Linked DNA regions of Arabidopsis thaliana. The protein of the gene in region 2 interacts with the protein of the main gene of each other region in a biochemical or structural test. Each region holds a gene or a part of one and is shown on either strand. Other genes may lie near its edges.

What was found.
Region 1: the proteins of CLF (region 2) and BLI form a complex in vitro, tested with the Arabidopsis thaliana proteins (one study listed by BioGRID).
Region 3: the proteins of CLF (region 2) and FIE form a complex in vitro, tested with the Arabidopsis thaliana proteins (one study listed by BioGRID).

What each region holds. Positions count from the first base shown.
Region 1 is NC_003074.8:8,662,030-8,670,118, forward strand, and holds BLI (BLISTER), read right to left. Parts: upstream 6,012-8,089; 5' UTR 5,412-6,011; coding exon 5,355-5,411; intron 5,108-5,354; coding exon 4,621-5,107; intron 4,509-4,620; coding exon 3,961-4,508; intron 3,666-3,960; coding exon 3,546-3,665; intron 3,073-3,545; coding exon 3,007-3,072; intron 2,759-3,006; coding exon 2,648-2,758; intron 2,450-2,647; coding exon 2,373-2,449; intron 2,213-2,372; coding exon 2,145-2,212; intron 2,063-2,144; coding exon 1,949-2,062; intron 1,796-1,948; coding exon 1,611-1,795; intron 1,481-1,610; coding exon 1,412-1,480; intron 1,119-1,411; coding exon 957-1,118; intron 870-956; coding exon 789-869; 3' UTR 384-788; downstream 1-383. Other genes in the region: HSP60 (heat shock protein 60), read left to right, coding at 6,984-7,021, 7,212-7,365, 7,512-7,671, 7,763-8,034. UniProt on the Arabidopsis thaliana protein: Is required for normal leaf, flower and seed development and controls cotyledon and leaf patterning by inhibiting premature differentiation. Regulates the expression of a subset of PcG target genes.
Region 2 is NC_003071.7:9,953,383-9,960,993, reverse strand, and holds CLF (SET domain-containing protein), read right to left. Parts: upstream 5,903-7,611; 5' UTR 5,425-5,902; coding exon 5,362-5,424; intron 5,085-5,361; coding exon 4,992-5,084; intron 4,908-4,991; coding exon 4,606-4,907; intron 4,502-4,605; coding exon 4,340-4,501; intron 4,203-4,339; coding exon 4,118-4,202; intron 3,981-4,117; exon of another isoform or gene 3,947-3,980; coding exon of another isoform or gene 3,923-3,946; coding exon 3,788-3,922; intron 3,688-3,787; coding exon 3,640-3,687; intron 3,568-3,639; coding exon 3,496-3,567; intron 3,415-3,495; coding exon 2,714-3,414; intron 2,613-2,713; coding exon 2,462-2,612; intron 2,363-2,461; coding exon 2,139-2,362; intron 2,060-2,138; coding exon 1,928-2,059; intron 1,803-1,927; coding exon 1,712-1,802; intron 1,613-1,711; coding exon 1,565-1,612; intron 1,462-1,564; coding exon 1,333-1,461; intron 1,239-1,332; coding exon 1,161-1,238; intron 1,072-1,160; coding exon 877-1,071; 3' UTR 608-876; downstream 1-607. Other genes in the region: AT2G23390 (acyl-CoA), read left to right, coding at 1-19, 104-274, 367-426; AT2G23370 (cyclin delta-3), read left to right, coding at 5,976-6,078, 6,215-6,298, 6,400-6,474, 6,557-6,599, 6,677-6,734, 6,831-6,998, 7,079-7,141, 7,221-7,315 and 2 more. UniProt on the Arabidopsis thaliana protein: Polycomb group (PcG) protein. Catalytic subunit of some PcG multiprotein complex, which methylates 'Lys-27' of histone H3, leading to transcriptional repression of the affected target genes, mainly abscisic acid (ABA) responsive elements.
Region 3 is NC_003074.8:7,248,233-7,254,262, reverse strand, and holds FIE (Transducin/WD40 repeat-like superfamily protein), read left to right. Parts: upstream 1-1,810; 5' UTR 1,811-2,008; coding exon 2,009-2,185; intron 2,186-3,028; exon of another isoform or gene 3,029-3,216; coding exon 3,217-3,282; intron 3,283-3,381; coding exon 3,382-3,504; intron 3,505-3,591; coding exon 3,592-3,672; intron 3,673-3,764; coding exon 3,765-3,857; intron 3,858-3,951; coding exon 3,952-4,027; intron 4,028-4,133; coding exon 4,134-4,213; intron 4,214-4,305; coding exon 4,306-4,377; intron 4,378-4,462; coding exon 4,463-4,522; intron 4,523-4,607; coding exon 4,608-4,704; intron 4,705-4,806; coding exon 4,807-4,870; intron 4,871-4,952; coding exon 4,953-5,012; intron 5,013-5,138; coding exon 5,139-5,199; 3' UTR 5,200-5,384; downstream 5,385-6,030. Other genes in the region: AT3G20730 (PPR superfamily protein), read right to left, coding at 5,385-6,030. UniProt on the Arabidopsis thaliana protein: Polycomb group (PcG) protein. PcG proteins act by forming multiprotein complexes, which are required to maintain the transcriptionally repressive state of homeotic genes throughout development.

The DNA.
Region 1 (8,089 bases), on a different chromosome or scaffold from region 2:
CATAACAAATGAAGATTTTTACGGTGGGCGGCGGCAACGAACAAAGTAGGTTATCTTATCGAAACTATGAGGTTAAACAAAAGATTACACATATTTATAGAATAACAAAATAGGATTATGGTAACTCAAAGTCTCTAATATACATCTTTTTATATCAACCACTCGTTTGTTTTAACCCAATTCTGATTGGTTACTGAAGATAAAGTGTAATCCACAATGGCTTCTAAATGTTTTAAATTTTAGATTAGATTAGATTATCATTAGATACCAGATAGTTCCTCTTGTTGAATGGCTCATATACTCTTAGATCAAATTGTGTGTGTGTAATCACCTAATTGTACTTCGGACTGAAATGAACAGTATTTGAACATAACCGATAGTGTTAACACTTGTATTTCATAGTTTGATCAAGTCTTCAATTTAAAACGAGAAGATAAAATATATCCGAAACCATACAAGATTTTTTCTTGGTAAATTATATTTGCTAGGAGGAACACTTTAACTTGGCTATATAATCAACAATTACAAAATTCAGACAAAAACGCACTCATATAACAACTACCTTTCTCTCTGTTTAAGCTTCCGAGTCTCCTCTATCCATTTGGAACTCTTCAAGTTCATGGTGTTTCTCACTATACCATTTTTGCTCAATCCAATGAAATCCAAAATTTTGGATCAAAAGAACCAAATGAATTCTTCCAAAACTAAAGGAGAAGAAGCAATCCATGGCTGTGCCCGGGATATACAGAATGGCAACAAGGGTCACGACTGAGCAAGCCATCCATGCATTAGAGAAGCTTGCTTGTCCTTCTTTTCGACGGTCCTCCTGGGAACATCTTCATGATCCATCCTAGAACCCTTTCTACCACCTAAAGAGAGAGAGAGATATCATTAAACTGTGGTCTTTCTCAGATTGAACTTTATAAACTCTGAACACAGAGAACATGAGAGAGTACCTCATCGCCTTCATCTGCAATCGGTGTTCTCTCTTGAACAACATGAGTGTCCGGCTGCTGCTTTTCTGGTGAAACATTGTCTATGGCCATCTTCTGCGCTGTTACAAGCTCTAACCTTTGCGTCTGCGCTTCAAGTTTTCTGGATAACTCTTTGTTCAGCTCCTATGGTTATGAAACATGAGAAATATAAATGATTTGGGGATACAGAATAAACACACAAACAGTAAAACGTAACTTATAAAAGACCCAGAGAAAATAAGGAGCGCAGGGACCAGCATGGAAAAAAAAAAGAGTATAAGAAGAAGACAAGGCCTTGGATTTTGAGTCTATGAGGACTCGGAGTACCATATAGAAAGCTCAGCCAGAGAACTTATGCATGATGTTATGGTGACAGAAAATTCTTACTCAAGTCAAAGAAGACATGTTTTTAGCCCCATGAATTTATGTTACTGTACCTGCACATGCGCACTTCGAGATAACTCAGATGACAGTGCTTGCACCAGTTCTTCCTTCTCAATTGCCAACTGCAGCCGAAGAAACAAAATAATCATCACGTTATTATCCAGATTGAGAAAATGATAGCACCTTGAGAATTAAAAAGTATTGCTTCTCACAGCTAAAGAAAACATCAAATCAATCATCCATAAAAACTACCTCAGCAATCAGCGTATTAATGTTATGAATCACTCTCATCTGATCAGCTGGGACGCTCAATGAAAAGCCTTCAAGAGTTAATTGTCTAGTTTCAGGAATGATAGCTGTATTAGATGAATCACTTTCGAGCAGAGTAGTAGAATCTGTTTCCTGGTTGGAGCTCTCTGGCGTAGTATCTGAGATTGCTGCACGAAGAATCCAAAGAGTCAGGGGACTGGTTAGAAGTCAAAGATTAAACTTGAAACTTTTTATCTAAGGTTTGCCGAAGATGCAAATGTATGAGTTTAGACATCCAAAATACGCTTCAGATTTCTTAAATAGTGTGCAAAGACCATTACCAAGACCTTCTGTAGAGGTTGACACGTTCTTTCTGCTAGTTGAGTTTTTACTCAGATCAGTGGATTTTCCACCAGATGAAGCTTTCTGCACCATAGTTTGTAGGACCTTCTTCTCTGCAACAGTAGATGCAGAAAATAAGCTAATGCATTGTTCAATCACATTACTCCTTAGAGGAGTAGATTTCAATGTGCATACCTTCCTGAAGAGCTTTAATAGTAGATTGTAAATCTTGACGATCTTTCTCTAAGCTCTGCAATTTTTTCCTATTGAAGTTGATAGGTAAGATAAAATAGAACCCAGAAAGCCATAAAAGTTACAGACTGAATCCATAGGGAGTTTTCCAGTATCCCACGGTTCTTTTTGGATCAAACATCATGTAAAGGTGAAGTTACGGACATGAATAGAATACAGTAAAGAGCCTACTTGTAAGATAACATTTCTGTTTGTGCCTTCTCCAGTTCCCTCTCCAGCTTTAACTCATTAGATCTGAGTCTGAGAGCCTAATATATGTTCCAAGAAAAATCCAAGCTAAACAGGTAAGCATCTGAAGGTAGACGAAACAGATATTTCACAGCTGAAATATTCAAAAACTAAACTAAACATGTCACTGCACACTTTTGCAGCTAAGTAAGCCAAAAATGTTAGTTGTTTTTTCAAATTTAATGTTATTGTAAGACATAACATCCAAAGCCAAATACCTTATCTTCCAAACTGATGACTTCAGAAGCCAGTATTTGGGAACGCTCATCAGCAGCATTACATTCTAGCTGCGCGTTTGCATACTCAACCCTGACAGACTCAAGTTCGCCCTGGACAGAATTAGTGTTAAATCAAGTAACAGCTTTTAAAGTAATCTAGAAATAGCTCCAGTGCATGAAAGAACATGGCATGCAATTACTCATCCAGAATCATACTCCAATTTTTAGTTTTGTAAGTAAACATCAAACAATCTAATAGTACAGGGATGTAGAAAAATGCAATATCATGCTTTAATAAAGTATACTGTTCGATCATATACAACTGGAATTTGGTGACTGTATAGGCAGTTAATACTTACCATTTGGGCTTGGATCTGTTGATATAGCCTCTCCATGTCATCTTTTAGTTGGTTGACAAGACCTCTCTGTATGAGATAGAAACGAGAACAAGTATTACATAAAACATTGGGAGGATTTGTGACTATTATAAAGCTCAGTGGACACCATGTCTTATAGCAAACAATATATAACATCATGCATTCTCAAAAGTAGACAAGCCCAGTAAATGTCAACTAGGTAGACATCCTGAAGCACCTTCTCCAAACACATAGTCTAACACTGTGTGTTTTCGCAACAAAGTCTAAACATGGTTTAATTCAAGAGCATAACGCTTTAACGAAAGACTCAAATCACATCCATCCACATCATGAATAATAAATATTCTTATATTTCCATTTCCCAAGGATCCTAAAACCACATGACAGTATACTCTTGCTAATAATTAAGCATGATAAAATGCAAATAATTAGTCATCTACTATAAGTGGTCAAGATTGTTTTCTAGTACAAAAATCAGAGTTGGCCAGTATTCAGCTAGGATGCCATAAGCTTGCATGTACCTGCTGGTTATAAGTGTCTGTCATTGAAGAATTCTCTGATGCTAAGGATTCTGCCAGTGCACGTGAAGCATCAAGATCCCTTTGCAGTGAAAACTTTTCTTGTGTTAAATCCTCAATATGCTGCAAGTGAAAAATGAAACTGTAGCTCAGAAAAGTCACAGGACAAAGGGTGTACAAAGACGAACAGTGTTAGCTAACATCCTAAAGAAAAATCAAAGAGCAATCCAAGACAAGGTAAGAAGATTATGATCCAGCCAGCGAGAGGCATCCACTCAATATCTTTGACGATTTGGTCGTCTTTATATAACATCAGATCAATTCCCCACTTAGTTCTTCTAAATGAGAAGACCATACTAAGTAGCAATTGACAATACATTAACAAAATAAAAGATGGTGCAAGAAATAAGTATCTTACCTGTTCCAGAGCAGTAAAATCATCATTTTGTTTTGGCATAGAGAAATCAGTAAAACCTGGCATTACTCCATTGGCAGCAGGATATAAAGAACTCCGAAACTTTTCAAATGGATTAGGATAATCAGATGCTCCGCTTGTCAAAGATGATGGTCCATTACTGTCTCTTCTCCCTGATATATAAGATGGCCCAAAACCATCACTGCCAGATAGTTGGGAACCACTGGATGTAACCAAATCCGCTTGTATCTCAGGGTGTTGATATTGAGTCTCTGGAGCTCTTGATATATTGAGGGAATCAAGGAAAGACGGACGAGATCTCTTCACAGTTGCTTCACTCTTAGCTGAGTTTAATGGTGAAGAGCTTGTGATATTCACACTGAAATCTGAAGGTTCAGAAGGTCGAGATGATGTGTCTGGAGAATTAAACAAATAACTGCTTGACAAAGTTGGCTTCTGCACAATGCTACCTCCTAGTTCACCACTTCCCTGTTGGTTTTTGGCAACTTCGTCAAAAGACCCTGCCATCCTGGTAGTAGGTTGTAGAGAGTCTAGCAACAAAAACCGTAATGATAAATTAGGTTGTTGCCTTTAAGGAACAAAAAAGAAGGAGGGTTAGGACAAAATACATTACTACATTAACCTCATATGATAGCCACGTACCTTTTCTGGATGAGGTTAATCCACTGCCGTGAATGAAACCATCCATTTGCATTGAGGTTCCAGAAAAAAGAGATGCAGTTTCTCTTAGAGTAGAAGCACGATCAAAACTTTCACTCGATTGCTTGTCTATATTGCTATAAGGTACAACTTCAGGCCTAGTATTCACTGTTAAGTCCTTCGATGAACCTATCAACTCTAAGCTATTAGAAAAATCAACTTTGCCCACTGATTCCTGACCATCATCTTGTCTACTTCTTTCTTTGCTTCCATCATCCATTGCTGTATTCGAAAATGATAAATTATATACATCTTTGGTATGGGTTTCATTTGAGGTAGATTCAGCAGATTGCTTGAGAGGTCCATTAGAGATAGATGCACCAGCTCCATCTGAATCTATGACACTTTGTTGGCTATTATCAACAGGTTGTGTATTCTGTGATGCCTTTTTAGCTTTTTCTGCTGCTTTTCGTTTACGAAACTGCTCAAGCTGAAAATCCAGAAATTAAACGATAAGAAACACACAATTTTACGCATTCATCTTTAAAAAAAACAAGCTTTTTGTCGAATAAATCTCAATTCTGATTGCATGCGTTAGGACATCAATCTCAATTCCAATATAAACAACCCACCTAAAAAAAATGATCAATTGACTCAGCACCGACAAATTTTAGGGGCAAATTCAAAGTAACGAGAGAATCAAACAAAAGATGATGATTATGATGATGATGATCTACCTTACGGCGTCCAGCTTCAACGTCCTCTTGCCTCCGGGAACTAGTAGCTGATGCCATTGAAAAATACTCGAAATCTCGCAGAGGGAAATGTTCCCTCTCCAATTGCTTCAAATCAATGCTTTTTCAATTACCATTGAATCCGTTTTAGCCAAAGCCATTCCCGGAAATCGCCGTTGTTATGATTGAGGAGAAAACTCAAATTTCAAAAAGCCCAGATCCTGACGCACAGATCGAGAAGATATCGTTGAAATTTCGGGGTGGAGGAAACAGATGGAGATCTCGAGAAAACAAGTTCAAAAATCGATGGAATTGTCAAACAAAGAAATCGAAATTAGGGTTTTCGATCTGAAGGAGAGGAGGACGAAGTTCAAATATTAATTTTGTTCGTCAGATCTCTTTTTAACAGATCCCTTTCTTTTTATTTTCCCCTTCTCTGCTTTGAATTAAACGTTTTTACTCGTTTTTTTTTTTCTTTGTTTGGTTGCAATTTTTTTTTAACGTTCACTCATTGTTTGTTTGGTGAAATTTAGATTTCATGTAGCTTTTGATTTTAAAAATGTATAAGAAGTGTGTAATGTATTTGTTCATAGTCTGTTGTATTTTTTGAAAAATAAGAGAGAATGTTTAGGTAGTAAGAAAATTAAGAGAAAAAAAAATGGAGAGAAATGAGTCGTGATGGACACATATGACAGGTAAAGAAAATAAATAGGAGCATCCATGTGGCCCGTGGAACATGACGACAGCCCACCAAATTACTCATGTTTTTAAAGAGAGAAATTGACAAATTTTAATATCAATAGAAGCTTCAAATTCCTCTACTTTAGGACAACTAAAAGAGCAAAGTAATGAAGAAAAAAAGTGAAGCAAGGTCAACCTTTTGGTATCATCTAGGTGTTTATTATGGGGTTTGGTTCACTTTTTTGTTTGCATTGTTTGGATTTTGGATTTCTTTTGGAGTTCTATTTCATATTATCAGTTTTTATCTTTGCGTATTTAAGAAACTTTTACTGAGGTAAAATATTACACAAATTGCCACTGATTTTAGAGAACAAATTCAATTTAAAAAACTCGAAACACCGATTTGTTTTGTAGAGCTGAAGCAAACCTAAACCAAAAACCTAATCCAACCGGAACCATTTAATTACCGTTGGTTTTCTTTGGTTTGGTGTGGTTCAGTTTGATTAGATTCAAGGATATTTAGATCAAGCGATATAATTTTATTTTATTTTTTGGTTAAACGCTATATAAAATTTGACATGTATATTATGGCAAAATCACAAATGCTGGTTATCAAAAGATGAAAAAATGAAATCTGTTTCTTTGGGGCAAAAAATATTACAGAAATTAAATTGGAAAATGAGATTAACGACTTTTTTTTTTTTTTTTTTCGTCAAATGAGATTAACGATTTTTAAGTTTGAAATGAAAGTTAAACCCTAAAGAGGCCTAAAACCCTAAAAGGCTCATATAGTAACTAGCAGCTGCTTCTAGACTCTTCTCCTTCGCTTATTAAGCCCTCTCAACTCTTCTTCTCTCTCTCTCTCTCTCTCCGCCTGTTCTCCATTGATCTAATCTAACTCGCTCATCAGAATCATCTCTTCATCGTTAATCCTCTTCCTTCTCACTCACCATGTATCGTTTCGCTTCTAACCTCGCCTCCAAGGCAAGGTAATGAACTCACTTTCTTCGTGTTTTTTATTCACTCTCATTGGAAGCTAATGAGGAATTAAATCGATTTGGGTTTTGATCTACTCTCTTCAAATTCATCTGGGCTCTCGAAATCTACTAGCTTAATCCCGATTCTGAATTGCCAGTTCTGATAATAAAAATGGTGTCTTTATTGTTCTCTGTTCTTCAGGATTGCTCAAAACGCTCGCCAGGTTTCCAGCAGAATGAGCTGGAGCAGGAACTATGCAGCGAAAGAGATTAAGTTTGGTGTTGAAGCTCGAGCTTTGATGCTTAAGGGTGTTGAAGATCTTGCTGATGCTGTTAAAGTCACCATGGGTCCCAAGGTACTCTTTTTCTTCTACACATTTTGATTTGATTTGGACATGATTTGGCCAGAGGTTCCTTCCTTAGCATGTGATTTGGGTGACCGGTTGATTCTGTATCGAATTTGGTCTAAGACTTTCTGCTTTATGTGATTCTAATTTTGAAGGGACGTAATGTTGTGATTGAGCAAAGTTGGGGTGCTCCTAAAGTGACAAAAGATGGTGTTACTGTTGCCAAAAGTATTGAGTTCAAAGACAAAATTAAGAACGTTGGTGCTAGTCTTGTGAAGCAGGTTGCAAATGCTACTAATGATGTTGCTGGTGATGGTAAGATATTTCATTTTGATTGATTATGCGGTTCATAGTTGTAGAAACTTTGCAAAACTATGTACCAATGCTTGTTTAACTTGTCATGCAGGTACTACTTGTGCTACTGTCCTCACCCGGGCTATATTTGCCGAAGGATGCAAATCAGTTGCCGCAGGAATGAATGCAATGGACTTGCGAAGAGGTATTTCCATGGCAGTTGATGCTGTGGTGACAAACCTTAAAAGCAAGGCTAGGATGATCAGCACATCTGAAGAGATTGCTCAGGTTGGAACCATTTCTGCTAATGGAGAGAGGGAAATTGGTGAACTTATTGCCAAGGCTATGGAGAAGGTTGGCAAAGAAGGTGTTATCACAATCCAAGTAAGTAAATCGCCGAATGATTGCTCATGTTGCTACTTATATATTGGTCAAAACA
Region 2 (7,611 bases):
TGAAGCATGCTATTACCAGGTTGGTCTTGTTGTTTCAAAGTCTCAAGAGTTTTCGCCGAGACATACTTGATTAAAACTCACAAACTGATAATGGGATTCATAGGCAATTGAAGCAGCGATAGAGCTTAATCTGAAAACGGTAGAAGCTGGAGCGCAGGGTGAGCATAAGATTCAGCGAGGCTACCTTCCCGTTAAAACATATAGTTGCCATTACATATTCGATGAAGGTTTCAGGCAAGCCATAGACGAGTTTTTAGTGCGCGAATCAAATCAGGTATGTTTTGAAGTTATGGTGTTAAAAGAGTATATAAACATAGCTATGTAATTGGATCATCGACTTAAACAATGTAACTTTGTGCATCGCAGATGGATTATGTCATCAGACTGATGCATGAAGATGGACCCTTCAAAGAGAAAATAGAATAGATGCATTTATATCTTGGTTATCGCAAACATTCTTGTATATCTTAATTCTTAGGTTTATGCGTCAATGTACATTTTAATTTGGCTGCTCATGTTCGTTTTCTGATTTGGTTTTGTTACTTTCTGATCACCAAATGTACACTGACGCCTAATTTAATTTATATAGATTGTGATGTGTGAGGAATACCACATTGATGTCAGCTCCAAAGCTCACCAAGTTTCTCATCTGTAATTTAAAAACTTTAACCCGAGTCTCAGTACAATAAAATGATAATCCAGAAATGTAAAACGAAAAAAGGAAATTTTAATCCAACGAATACAATTTTTCTTTAGACTCAGCAAAATGTATGAATTTGTTTCAATGTGTTCTTCCGTGTGGAGAGTAATGAGGATTAAAGCGTTCTTCCACCTGTAACCAAAGAATTGACAAAAAAATGGTTGTTTCTTTTGTTGCTAAGCAAGCTTCTTGGGTCTACCAACAGAAGGTGTAACATTTTCGTCTTTCTTAGAACCAGGAGCTTCAGGTTTTTTGGCCCAAGCTGGAGCTCGATCTGGCTCATACCGGTAATCGTAAAATAGTTCTTCTCCAGCCAGTATCCTCTCTTTTGCGAAGATCCCCACCCTGTGATCTCCAGCAACCATGATGACCTTGAACAGATACAAAGATTTTGAGGAAAAACAGAACATACCCATCATGCGAAAACCGTATCTTTAACTTGCACTTTTCACATTTTTACCTTTGCGTAACAGTTAGGTTCAGGAGAATGGTTGGCGAATTTCAGTTTATCTCCTTTCCTGTAAGCATCTAGCACAAACTGCAGCACAATCCAAAAACATTTTAAAATTTGAAGACAACCTAGAGACTAGAGAGAAAGAGAGTTGGGACATTTCAAAGCTGCTGAGACGTGCCTGATCGTTTAGATTGAAGAGAAAAGAGCAGTTCTCGCGATCGTATATCTTCCCGCGTTTATCTGCCTCTTTATGTGAGATCAGCTCTCCTGTGTATTCCCCAAGGTATTCATGCTTACTTACACTGTTCTGTAAGAAGGAAAAATAATTGTTCTTAAGGCAAGTTCATACTCTAAACATAGATTAATCTTTGAAGGACTTATCAGTTTAACAAATTTTGAACCTAATATACCTTTAAGAAAGCTCCCCAACCAGAAACATCAGATATTCCAAGTAAAACCTGAAATTAACATAAAAAAGAGGAGGAAATTTAGCCATTTCATGTTTAATCATTTGATTGCAGATCATAGATATTTAGTTAACAAGGCTAAGTATTTACCCTTTGTTGTTGTTTCAGGAGCAATTTCATATTCCTGCACTCATAATTATCGCCTCTTTGGCTTGGGACCCCAAGCGAACCATCCCCACCACTACACATTCAAATTCATTCAGACACAGTATAAGTGCATCTGGAACTACTAAAAAAAAAGTTGCATTTCTTGAGCATTTTCTAAGAAACCAATTAGGATGGATTTGCATCCCCAATAAGACTTACATGACCCAGCAGTTTCTACAAACATCTGGGTCACATTCCCGATCTGCAGCAAAGCATGGACACTGGCGGCTTCGACACTGACTTTTGGCACAATGACAACCTCTAAACCTATTCTTGCAGCTCTTTGGGCAACTACACAGAAAATATAGTTTGTTGGTAATGAGATTCAAAGCTAAGAAATACAGATGTGGATAATCATAGATTACATTACCCGCAGTACTTCTCGCAGCAAGTCCCGTTTAGCAAACAAGGACATTCCTTCCCACAAGCAATTTTGCAGTTACATGGATTAAACTGACGGCAGGGCTGGTCTTTCTTCTCAGTAATTCTTTTCCTAATTGAATGATATGCAGCAGACTTCCAGGTATACTTCAAGCGCCGCACTTTGCCTCTCCTACGTAGAAATCTTGACCTTCTCCTCACTTGGTTATTAACCTGGTTAGTCCAGAAACTAAAGCATTAAATCCGAAGAGAAATAAATCGATTTTATCAGGAATTTGTAAACAAAGTCAAAAAGGTTTAGTGTTAATATACCATATTTCCATTGATATCGAACTTGGAAGAGCCATCAGGATTCAATCCATCACCTCCAAAGAAGGAAGCTTTATTTTCCGAGCACGTCATGTATTGGAAGACCTCCCAACATGATTTGAAACCACTCAAAAGATTTCTAGCAATCAAGCAGCTGCAAAGAAACAAAGAATCCATATGACTATATTCCACAAATTGAAAAACCTGAAGCAGAATGATAATTTAGCAGTAGCTAAATACATCAAAATTACCCACCTATTCATTCCAAAAATCTCAACACCTTTATCAAAAAGGCTTTTCTCAAGTGGTCTCCACAACTTATTTGTAGCCAATCTTCCTCGAGATACAGTTTCACCCATAAACTCTTCTTTCCTTAGACTTTCATCACTACCCGGCGCATCAAGCTCTGACGCAACCTCATTTGACTGGCAAACAGGAACGTCATCCTTCACAGAATTATTGGAGACTTCGGCAGGAGTGCCATTCTTCCTTGACTTCCCGGAGTTCCCAGATTTTACATGCTTCTGAGAAGAGGAAGTAGCATCTTCATTATCTTTATGTTTTGCATCGCTGGGTGAACAACTTCCACTGGCGATGGAATCACTATCCGAGGCTTCTGTCTTCTTCTGCCTCTTCTGAGTCTTACGAGGAACTCGCTCAGCAACTCGGTTTTTGTTCCTCTTACGACCTACTCGTCTCCCACTACCTTTCACCTTTGGCGATGATGAAACTTTATCGGAATTGGTATCCTGCTGTAGTCCATTCTCTGAGTCACTTGTTTCTAGTGCGCACTTTTCATTAGACGATGCACTTTCACTTGGGAAGGTCTTTGGTTTTCTCCCATTAAGTTTGCTGGAGAACTTCGTGGGTGTGGTTTTAGTACCTGCACCATCTGATGAAGTGCCAGTTTTACCTTCAATGGTGCCATATCCCGGAAATCTTCCAGACTTGAGAAGCTGATAAATTGAAAACAACGCTTTTTGTTAAACCAGTCTTTCTAGGAGATGAGCTTAGCAACGAGAAAATAACAAATTTACCGTTTTATAGCAGTTTGCACCACAGGTTAAATTTTCATCTACAGGAGGACACCATGGAGCTGGTTTCTCAGCCTAAAAATCCATAAAATTAGATAAGTAACACTAAAGTTATAGTAAGATTTTTTCGGTTGGCACTAAACTCACCGGAAAAATGAGATCCTGTGAACACCCATGAAGCCGGCAATCAAATACCTGCATAGATGCATACAAAAGTTAAAAAGAGACCAATGTTTGCTCGATCATTAAGCAATAACCCATGAAACATTAGCCTGAGAAAATCAAATGGACTAACAAGGCATCTACGGCAGAACAGGTTATCGAAAGAATCTAATGCTCCTTCCATATCTTTGTTGAGAAGGGAGCTCTCTGCTTGATTATCGCCACTCTCGGATACTTCTTTTTCCTTCATAAGCACTCCATGTCTTGCCTGTATAAGATGGTCGGTGTTCATATCTCTGCAAAAAGCCAATTGGGAAAGGGCTGGAACAATACTAATTGGATTTCCTTAAACAATGCATCCCTCACTCTGTTTTGAAATCCTACAACTGAAGTGCTTGATTCTAAAGAAAATAGCACATGATAGTTCACACAAGCAATAGGCAGAGAAAAAAGTTGTTGATACCTTGATTTCACTAGTACTTCTAGACAAGAAACTTGCTAGTTCCGCCAGGACTGAGTCTGAAAGACCTAGTTGCTCAAGGGTCATGCTGAAGAAACGAAGGGAAATTTAATCCAACAATATAAGTGAGAACAAACCAGCATAACAGTTGACATAGCAGACAAGAGATTCACACTAAGAGACCAAAATGCAAGAATGATTAAACTCCTGCCATTTAATACTAACCGAATAATATAATCTTCAGGCTCCAAAAAATCTCTTTTTTCTTCTTCGTCGTCAATGGCCTCCTCTTCACTATCACTGCAGATAAGCGCTTCCCCGCCAGTTTGATCATAATAAATTCTCCTTCGACCCACTACAGACTGGTCTTCAGTCATTCTTTGATTTCTGCATCATTTCAAGAGTGATTATAACGTTAAGATACTATGCGAGGGGCTTACATTTCAACTTGAATATTTTCAAGTACTCTTGCGACATTAATGTCAACATACCTGTCCAGAAAAACCCATGTGGTATAAGGTGACAAACGTTTGATATCAGGCATTTTGATAGGACGTAAGGAAATTTTGACAGGGACACTAGATCCTTGAACCATTCCTGAACTGGCAGGTCCATCTTCTACATATCTGTTGTTATTACTTTCATCGATTCCGCTTTTCATACCTGGCGAATCTCTTTGCCTCTTAACTAAAAGATCACTGCCATCTTTACAGCTACCTCCTCGTTCCATAGAAGACCTCATAAAACTTTGAGTAATAGCAAACAAATTCTTCTTGTTTTCATCAATCCTTTTCTGGTTACAAACACATCAATTTCTAACAATCAGATTCAGAAACACATAAAACATACAAAAAAAAAACTAAACAAAAATAGCAACCTTTATTGATATACACCTATCAGCTGCAAGCTTCTTCTTTAGCGATTCTATTACTTCTGATACTTCCTTAGAAGCTGGACCTCTCTCCTCCGCCTGAAACATCAAAATGAGGTTCCTTTACACAGTGTTCAATGAGAGAAACTATCAATTGCAGCAAAAATGGTTCCTAAACGAACCCAAAAACAACTTCATATCTCACAATCCAGCAATCTCTAGATCTAAAAACGAGCATATAGAGAAGCTCAAACAAGCCATCGAGTTTCGTTCTCTTCACTCAAACTAAAGCAAATCAAAGTCAATGCCTCAATAGCACAAAGAAAAAAGTTCCATTTTTAGAAAGTAAGAAAAAAAAAAAAAACGATTGACGCACCGGAGAGTCTTTGGGTGGCTCCGATCTGGTGGCCGAAGAAGAAGGCGAAGCTTCTGACGCCATTGTCAAGAAACCAGATCGGAACCGAAACAAATGCGGGTCCGGGTTAAGATCCGGGTCGCGAAATCTGAAATGTTGGAGGAGAGAAGGAATTTGGCGGGTCGTTATAAACCCTAAAAATTTATCTTCAATTTTGTTTTTATTTTGGATCTTTTATCTTCAAATCCAAAAAAAATTTCGTTTTACTTTTAAAGAACATTGTTTACGAATTGGGAAGCGTGTAAATTAGAAACTTTTTCCAATTATTTAAAAAAAAAAAAGTTGGTGGGAAAATAGCGACGTGGCAGCTCGATTTGAATTATCTACTGTACATCTCCGGCGACGGTTTACCGGAATATCACGTAGCTCGAGACAACGAATCTACTAGAGTTCGAGACTGGTTCTATATCAACTGAACAAAACAAACACGAACGTTGCTGGGCTCTGATTTAATGGGCTCTTAAACCCTATTTGTTTGGGCTTTATTTTTTGTTTTTTTTTTCAGCAACAGCTTTTCGAAGTCTCTCTGTAATCTCATCGGACGAGAAACAGTACGGCGATCGGAAAACTCTGAGATGCATCGCGGCGCGGCGGTTTTCGGACGGAAACGTAGACTGATACTTCTCCATGGCAGCAGAAACTTCGCCAGATCCTTTTGCTCTTCTTCTTCACTATCTGGTGAGAGGGATTCACATCTTCGCTATTTCATTTGCAACTTCTGGAAGCTGTGCGATGGCTTGAGATTGGTTTATGATTCTTACGGTGCCGAATTTGAACAATCAGTGAATCGAAGTTAACGATTGATTATGTGCAGAACATGAATGTTTCATTAAGGATATAGCAAAAGCTCAGCCTCCTAAGCATCTGATGCAGCTGCTGAATATATTCACAGCTAGAGGTAAATCAATCTTACACTGACTTGCTGATCGTATTTTCGAAGTTTTTGTTTGTTAACTTGCGGAATGGTGACTTTTGCTTGTGGTAATGACATTGGATCAGGTAAATCCATAGTTTCTCCTGGTGCCAAGCAAGGCTTGTTACCTCTTACTATTCCGTTGGTGAAAATGAGCCCGGGTATGATTCTGGACTTGTACATAAGTTCTTATCTGAGGTTGTAACACTTTCATATTAAGTTTGTATGACTTTCCTTTTTCAGGTTCTTCAATTGCTCTATTACGGTGGCCAACAGCTCCTTCTAGGTTAGATCCTCCTTGCTTTTTTAATATCGTCATGTTTCTCTTCTTTTGTAGCTTATCATTGTTTGTGGTGTTTGCAGTATGGAGATGCCTGTGGTGGAAGTTCAGAAACATGGGGTTTGGTTTCTAGCTAATAATGTAATGAGTCTTTTTATAGCATTACTGATGCGTTAATTTAGGGTTATTTTTGTTGAGTGTTCATTCTCATATCTGACTTCATTGGCCAACATTCAGGTTGATCAGTTCATTCACAGAATATTGGTGGAAGAAGATGTTTCCAAACCCGAAGAATGCAGCCAAGAAATCTTCAATGCTGCTGGTGAAGCTGGGAAGAAACTTTACAGTAAGGGTGACTTTGCCAGTTCAAGACTGATGGATTTAGATGCCTATCTTTTAAGAAAGGTACATATATTGAGCCTGTTAATATCAGAATCTTTTCTGCACATGGATACTGGGATATGATTATTAGCTTTGTAATTCAGGTTGGATTGTTTCCAGATTCTCTTGAACGAAAAGTTATTCGGCATATCGAGAATGGAGACCATGTAAGGCTAGTAATTATATCTATCCTGTTGTAGTTGACGTGTTTTCTCTTTTTAAACTATCTTCACGTGCTAATACAAGGTTTCAGCTTTGGTGGCTACCGAGTTTTATACAAAGAGAGGGAACTTTCCCGGATTTGCCCGGCCATTCGCTTTCAACGCAAAAGTTTTACTGAAGTTCGTATGATCCTTTCTCATCATCCCTCTTTCTCCCTTGTGAACGACCCCCAGGTAAATGCTTACGTCCTTTCTAGAAAACTCTAAGACCTCTATATATTTTGTAGACTTGGGCGTAACTTAGAAGCGAAAGACGCAGCTAGGGGTGCTTTGAAATCTTCGTGGTGGACCTTAGGATGCAGATATGAGGTACAATTCCTTGACTATCGACAAGCAATTTTGGTAATCGAAAAGAGAAGGGAAAAAAGTGTTGAACATATGAAACGGGTTCCCAGGAAATTGCTCAAATAGCAGAG
Region 3 (6,030 bases), on a different chromosome or scaffold from region 2:
TTTTTATATATTGATTACTTGAATTTATAATAGGATTGGTACAAAGGTGGTAATTATAAAGTGCATTTTTTTGGATATTGTTCAATTCAAATATTTTTACTTAGATTCTCAAACTATTGAAAAATATCCAAAATATCCGGAAAATTTCAATTTAATCGAATAAAAAAATTAGAATGGAAAGAATAAAAAATTATCGGGTACAATTAGAAGAGTAATGTGTTTAGTTTGGTTTTTACTCGGATACCAGTTCAGTTTTCACGTATTATTCGATCCTATAGGAGCAATTGTGAATTAGTTGTGAGATTTTGGGAGCATTCGCTTCCAGAACTTAGTGCTAGGAGAAATGCTATTTTCCTATAAGAGTTGTACGAGGAAGCGAGCAAGTACACAACAACCACAAAAGCTTTCAATACTTGTTTACTCCTAGGGTTTAAAACTAGAGGTTCTATAGATCTCTAAATTTTTTTGAACAAATGTGTTTTCCACACGTGATATTCTACAATACCACTCGAAAATTATCCATAATTGCTTTAAACTATTTTTTTGTTTAAATTATATAATTTGTACCGTTGTAAACTGATTATTTCAAATTATAATTAAAGCACTATAATTTCATATATTACATTCAACATATATTAAAATAAACTATAACCATGTATTTTTTTGTCTTCCTTTCCTATAAACATTGATTGGACTCTATCGTAAATTTTGTCGTTATCGCAAATTTTGTCGTTATCGATGAGTTTCTCAAAGTTTGGACCTTGATTATCTTGTTTGGAGATGTTCAAATCGTTATATCCAAATAGTGAACTTCTAATTTTCTTTTTTGATAATGTGACTTATTTGGAAAAGTATTCCAAAGTATTCAAATAAACCCTTTAAAAATCCATTAAATACATTTTAAATAAGTAAAATGCTCTCAACGAAGAGATATCATGGTAAATAACAACAGTGAGAGGATAAAATGTTAAATCAATTTATTTACAACTTCAAATAGGCGGACATCAAACCTACTTAGCACACTTTCTATTTTCAAATTGGTTATGGTTTGTCTATTAGTTGTTGCATCTATGTTTTTTAATTCTTATATCGGTGATCTTGATTTTGTTTTGGTGTATCTAAAATCTATTTTAGTTAAAGTGCAAGAAAATAAAATAAAAACTTAAGGTAAGAGATGAAAGTAAGCTTTAAATAAAACAGAGCACTTCTATGGTCGATTATAGAGCCAAGTTCGTTCCTCCATTTTGGCTTAATGCAATATTACAAGTAAATCTTATAAAACTTTCCATAAGTATCGTATTACCCATGGATACTATGATATATAAACTCTCGGAGGTGTAGTCCAGAAGAAATGATCCATATTTGCATACAGTAAACTTGATGGAAAAAATATGTGGTACTGTTGGAATTGTAGCTATTGAGTATCAAATTTGAGAAAAAGGTAAAAAAATATGTAAAATTTGGGTGGAAGAAAAGAATTACATAAAATTGAGAAATGTATGTAATTGACAAAATAATGTTTTCAAAACATAAAAACGTGATACCATTTAAATCCAAACCTTATATCATTTAACCATTTTTAGTAAAACTAATAGTAATGAATGGTCAATAATATAAGATTACATATTAAATAATTACTACTTTCAGAAAATTTCAATCAAATCTATAATATTCCTTTGAAAAAAAAGAAAGACAAATAGGTAAACTTCGATCGTATCAATCAAAGAATATATTTATTTTTCATCGTAACGTTTAATTCTAAGTCCTATTAAAAAACGTTAAATTTGATTTTTCTTACCATTTTTTTCTAAAAGGTGAGTTGTGTGTTGTGTCAGGTCCAAAATAAAAGTTTGTCGTGAGGTCAAAATCTACGGTTACAGTAATTTTAATAACCTGTGAATCTGTGTCTAATCGAAAATTACAAAACACCAGTTGTTGTTGCATGAGAGACTTGTGAGCTTAGATTAGTGTGCGAGAGTCAGACAGAGAGAGAGATTTCGAATATCGAATGTCGAAGATAACCTTAGGGAACGAGTCAATAGTTGGGTCTTTGACTCCATCGAATAAGAAATCGTACAAAGTGACGAATAGGATTCAGGAAGGGAAGAAACCTTTGTATGCTGTTGTTTTCAACTTCCTTGATGCTCGTTTCTTCGATGTCTTCGTTACCGCTGGTGGAAATCGGGTAAAAGATCTCGACTTTCAATTCGAAATCACTGTTTTCAATTCTGGGTCTGTTTAGGTTTTGATTCAGATTGATTGTAACATTAAGGCCTTTCCTTTTGTGTTTGATTTTGGATTCTGATTTCTAGCCTTTAGTGAGATTAAAAGATTGAAACTTTGCTTGATGCTATAGTCTAAGATTATGTAACATTTAGTTCAAACTTTCTGGTTTTGGAGATTTTGTGGAAGATATGGTTTTTGTTTTCTAATTTAAAGTGAACTCATTACCTTATACACTTGATTTGCATTCTGTTCTAAAAAAAATTGAAACTTTGGTTGATGTTGTTAGTCTGCTTATCTAAGGAGGTTCCTTTTGAAACGGTCATCAAGTGAGTTATGAAGCGTTTAGTTTAAGCTTTCCTGTATTGGAGATTTTGTGGAAGTTATTTTTTTTTCTAATTTTGAAACTAGATAGAGTGAAGTCATTACCTTATACATTAGACTGCTCTATTTTGTTTTCAATGTGGGTTCCGAATGTACCTGATAGTGGCTCTTTAGGCTCATTTGTATTCGTCGAAACATCGATCGGATACCCGTTTGGGCTTAGTAGGCTCTGATACCGCGTAAAGTTCTCGGGTTCCATGAAAAACCAATCGGTAATGAGTGGAGTTAATTTGTAATCGTCTTCGGTCGAGCATTTGGGATTAGTGGGCTTTGATACCATGTGAAAGTCCTTGGGGTCCAATCGGCAATGAGTAGAGTTAACTTGTAATCTTACACACTTGGTTAGGTCTCATTCTCTTTATAATGTTGTGTGCCTAACAGTTTCCGCACTAAGGTTGTTTGGTTGCTCAGTCTCAATATACTTATCTTAACTAGTTGTAGTTTTTTTCATCTTTCCTAGTTTCCGTTGGATTTTAAATTGAATGATTTACTAGTTAGAAATATTTGAGTTTCTCATAGAAGCTTTAACCAAGGGGTTCTTTCATTTAACCTTTACTTAGCTAGTTCATGAATCTCATTACTGCCATTGGTGTATCTCTTATTATGTAGATTACTCTGTACAATTGTCTCGGAGATGGTGCCATATCAGCATTGCAATCCTATGCTGATGAAGATGTAAGGAAGCATACATATTAGCTTTTCCATCAAATTAAAGTAAGTGATGTTTCACTGAGGCCATTTGGTTATATTTTGTCTATGTCCTCTGGAGAGCAGAAGGAAGAGTCGTTTTACACGGTAAGTTGGGCGTGTGGCGTTAATGGGAACCCATATGTTGCGGCTGGAGGAGTAAAAGGTATAATCCGAGTCATTGACGTCAACAGTGAAACGATTCATAAGGTATTATTGCATTTTTATGGATGTTCTATGTATCCTAGCAAATGATTCTATATCTTTCTTGTATAATCTGTGCTCGCAAATGTGCAGAGTCTTGTGGGTCATGGAGATTCAGTGAACGAAATCAGGACACAACCTTTAAAACCTCAACTTGTGATTACTGCTAGCAAGGTATATCTCTTGGCTTTCTTTTCTTCCTAAAGTATCCTGACTTCTTTTTTATTTGTTGGTGATTAAGAGCTGTTACGTTTTAATTGAATAAGGATGAATCTGTTCGTTTGTGGAATGTTGAAACTGGGATATGTATTTTGATATTTGCTGGAGCTGGAGGTCATCGCTATGAAGTTCTAAGTGTGGTGAGCCAATATTGTTTTATCTAATTCAGTTAGTTTTCTACAATAATATATAGAGACAATGTTAAGGGGAACCATCTTATTTTGAAAATTGTAGGATTTTCATCCGTCTGATATTTACCGCTTTGCTAGTTGTGGTATGGACACCACTATTAAAATATGGTCAATGAAAGGTACGATCGAGCACATATTGTAATAAACTTCCATTTTAAAAAACCTTTTGAGAAAAATGGCTTGTGGTTCGTTTGTATGATCTTCTTATTCTTTGGCTGTCTATAGAGTTTTGGACGTACGTCGAGAAGTCATTCACATGGACTGATGATCCATCAAAATTCCCCACAAAATTTGTCCAATTCCCTGTAAGTATTTTGTTTTAGCCTTGTCTTGTAACAACAAGTGACATACAAATATTGGTGATGGCCTTTGTAAATAACATTACTTCTATATGTAGGTATTTACAGCTTCCATTCATACAAATTATGTAGATTGTAACCGTTGGTTTGGTGATTTTATCCTCTCAAAGGTTAGTAAGTCAATGATGGTTAAGATTAATTCATTTGGTGTACTGTTAAAACACTTTACTCTTGTGTTGTTCTATCGGATTTTAGAGTGTGGACAACGAGATCCTGTTGTGGGAACCACAACTGAAAGAGAATTCTCCTGGCGAGGTTAGGATCTCATTGTTGCTCCAAACACAACATAATCATTCATTTCATCACATATATTTACAGTTGAACTTTTTGTGGTTTGCAGGGAGCTTCAGATGTTCTATTAAGATACCCGGTTCCAATGTGTGATATTTGGTTTATCAAGTTTTCTTGTGACCTCCATTTAAGTTCTGTTGCGATAGGTAATCAGAGAGCTCGTTAGATACAAATTTGCATTCTATAGATAGATTACTTCAACTTTTCTTATTCATTTTGTGACAAATTACTCGCTGGTTTGTTATCAGGTAATCAGGAAGGAAAGGTTTATGTCTGGGATTTGAAAAGTTGCCCTCCTGTTTTGATTACAAAGTAAGTTAGTTTCGGATTCAGATACAATGTTTGATCTTTAAGAAATGTTTTAGTCTTGACATGATTTTCTGTTGCCATATAGGTTATCACACAATCAATCAAAGTCTGTAATCAGGCAAACAGCCATGTCTGTCGATGGAAGGTATAAATCCATCTTCTCTCTCACCAATGCAGTGAAAATTTCTTAATGTTATTTATGACTCAATAGTTACTGTAAATCAAACCAAACTTTGGATTCTGACACACTGTTTCTTCCATGGGATTGTAGCACGATTCTTGCTTGCTGCGAGGACGGGACTATATGGCGCTGGGACGTGATTACCAAGTAGCGGTCTGAGTCTTGTAGGAATTGATGAATTAGGAGTGCGAAGAAATGAGATATCCATTCTTTTATTGTAATTCTGATCATGTTGCTACTCCCTGAGACCTTGAGATGCTCTTTGTAGCCTTGTTAACGTCCACCCTTGTACCACAGTGTATACCCTTTCTGGAGATTTTGTCTTATTCTCTTAGTTCAATACACAAGGCTGTATCCTGGAGCTTTATTGCAGGAACCACTCTCTTTCATAAGCTTTCTAGTATTCAAAGCATTGTCCCATGCTCCATTAGCTGCATACACACTGGCCAAATTGATGTAATTGACTGGTTTCCTCGGTTCCATACTCAGAAGCTGCGTGGCTGCTACTTTACTGAGCTGCACATTCCCATGGCGCCTGCATGCATCAAGAAAAGCTCCCCATGTTGATGAGCTAAGACTTACAATACCCTCTTTACTTCTTATCAGTGCATAAGCTTCTTCCAAGTAGCCACTGCGCGCAAGCATATCTATGATGCAAGATAAGTGCTCTTCTCGAGCTTCGATTCCGTGCTTGTTGATCATTGTGTCGTAAATCTTCCAGCCTAGTTCGGTTTGTCCTGTATGACTACAAGCAGAGAGGAGAGAAAGAAATGTAACGTCATTCGGTTTGATCCTTTCATGCTCCATTCTGTTATAAAGATCAATTGCTTTCTCAAAATTCCCATGTCTTCCATATCCTGCAATCAAAGAGGTCCATGATCTCACATCTTTCTCTTTCATCTCTTCGAAAGCCAGGACTGCATCCTCGATTTCCCCAGACTTTGCATACATATCTATCAGCGAATTCCCCAAAGCAACATCG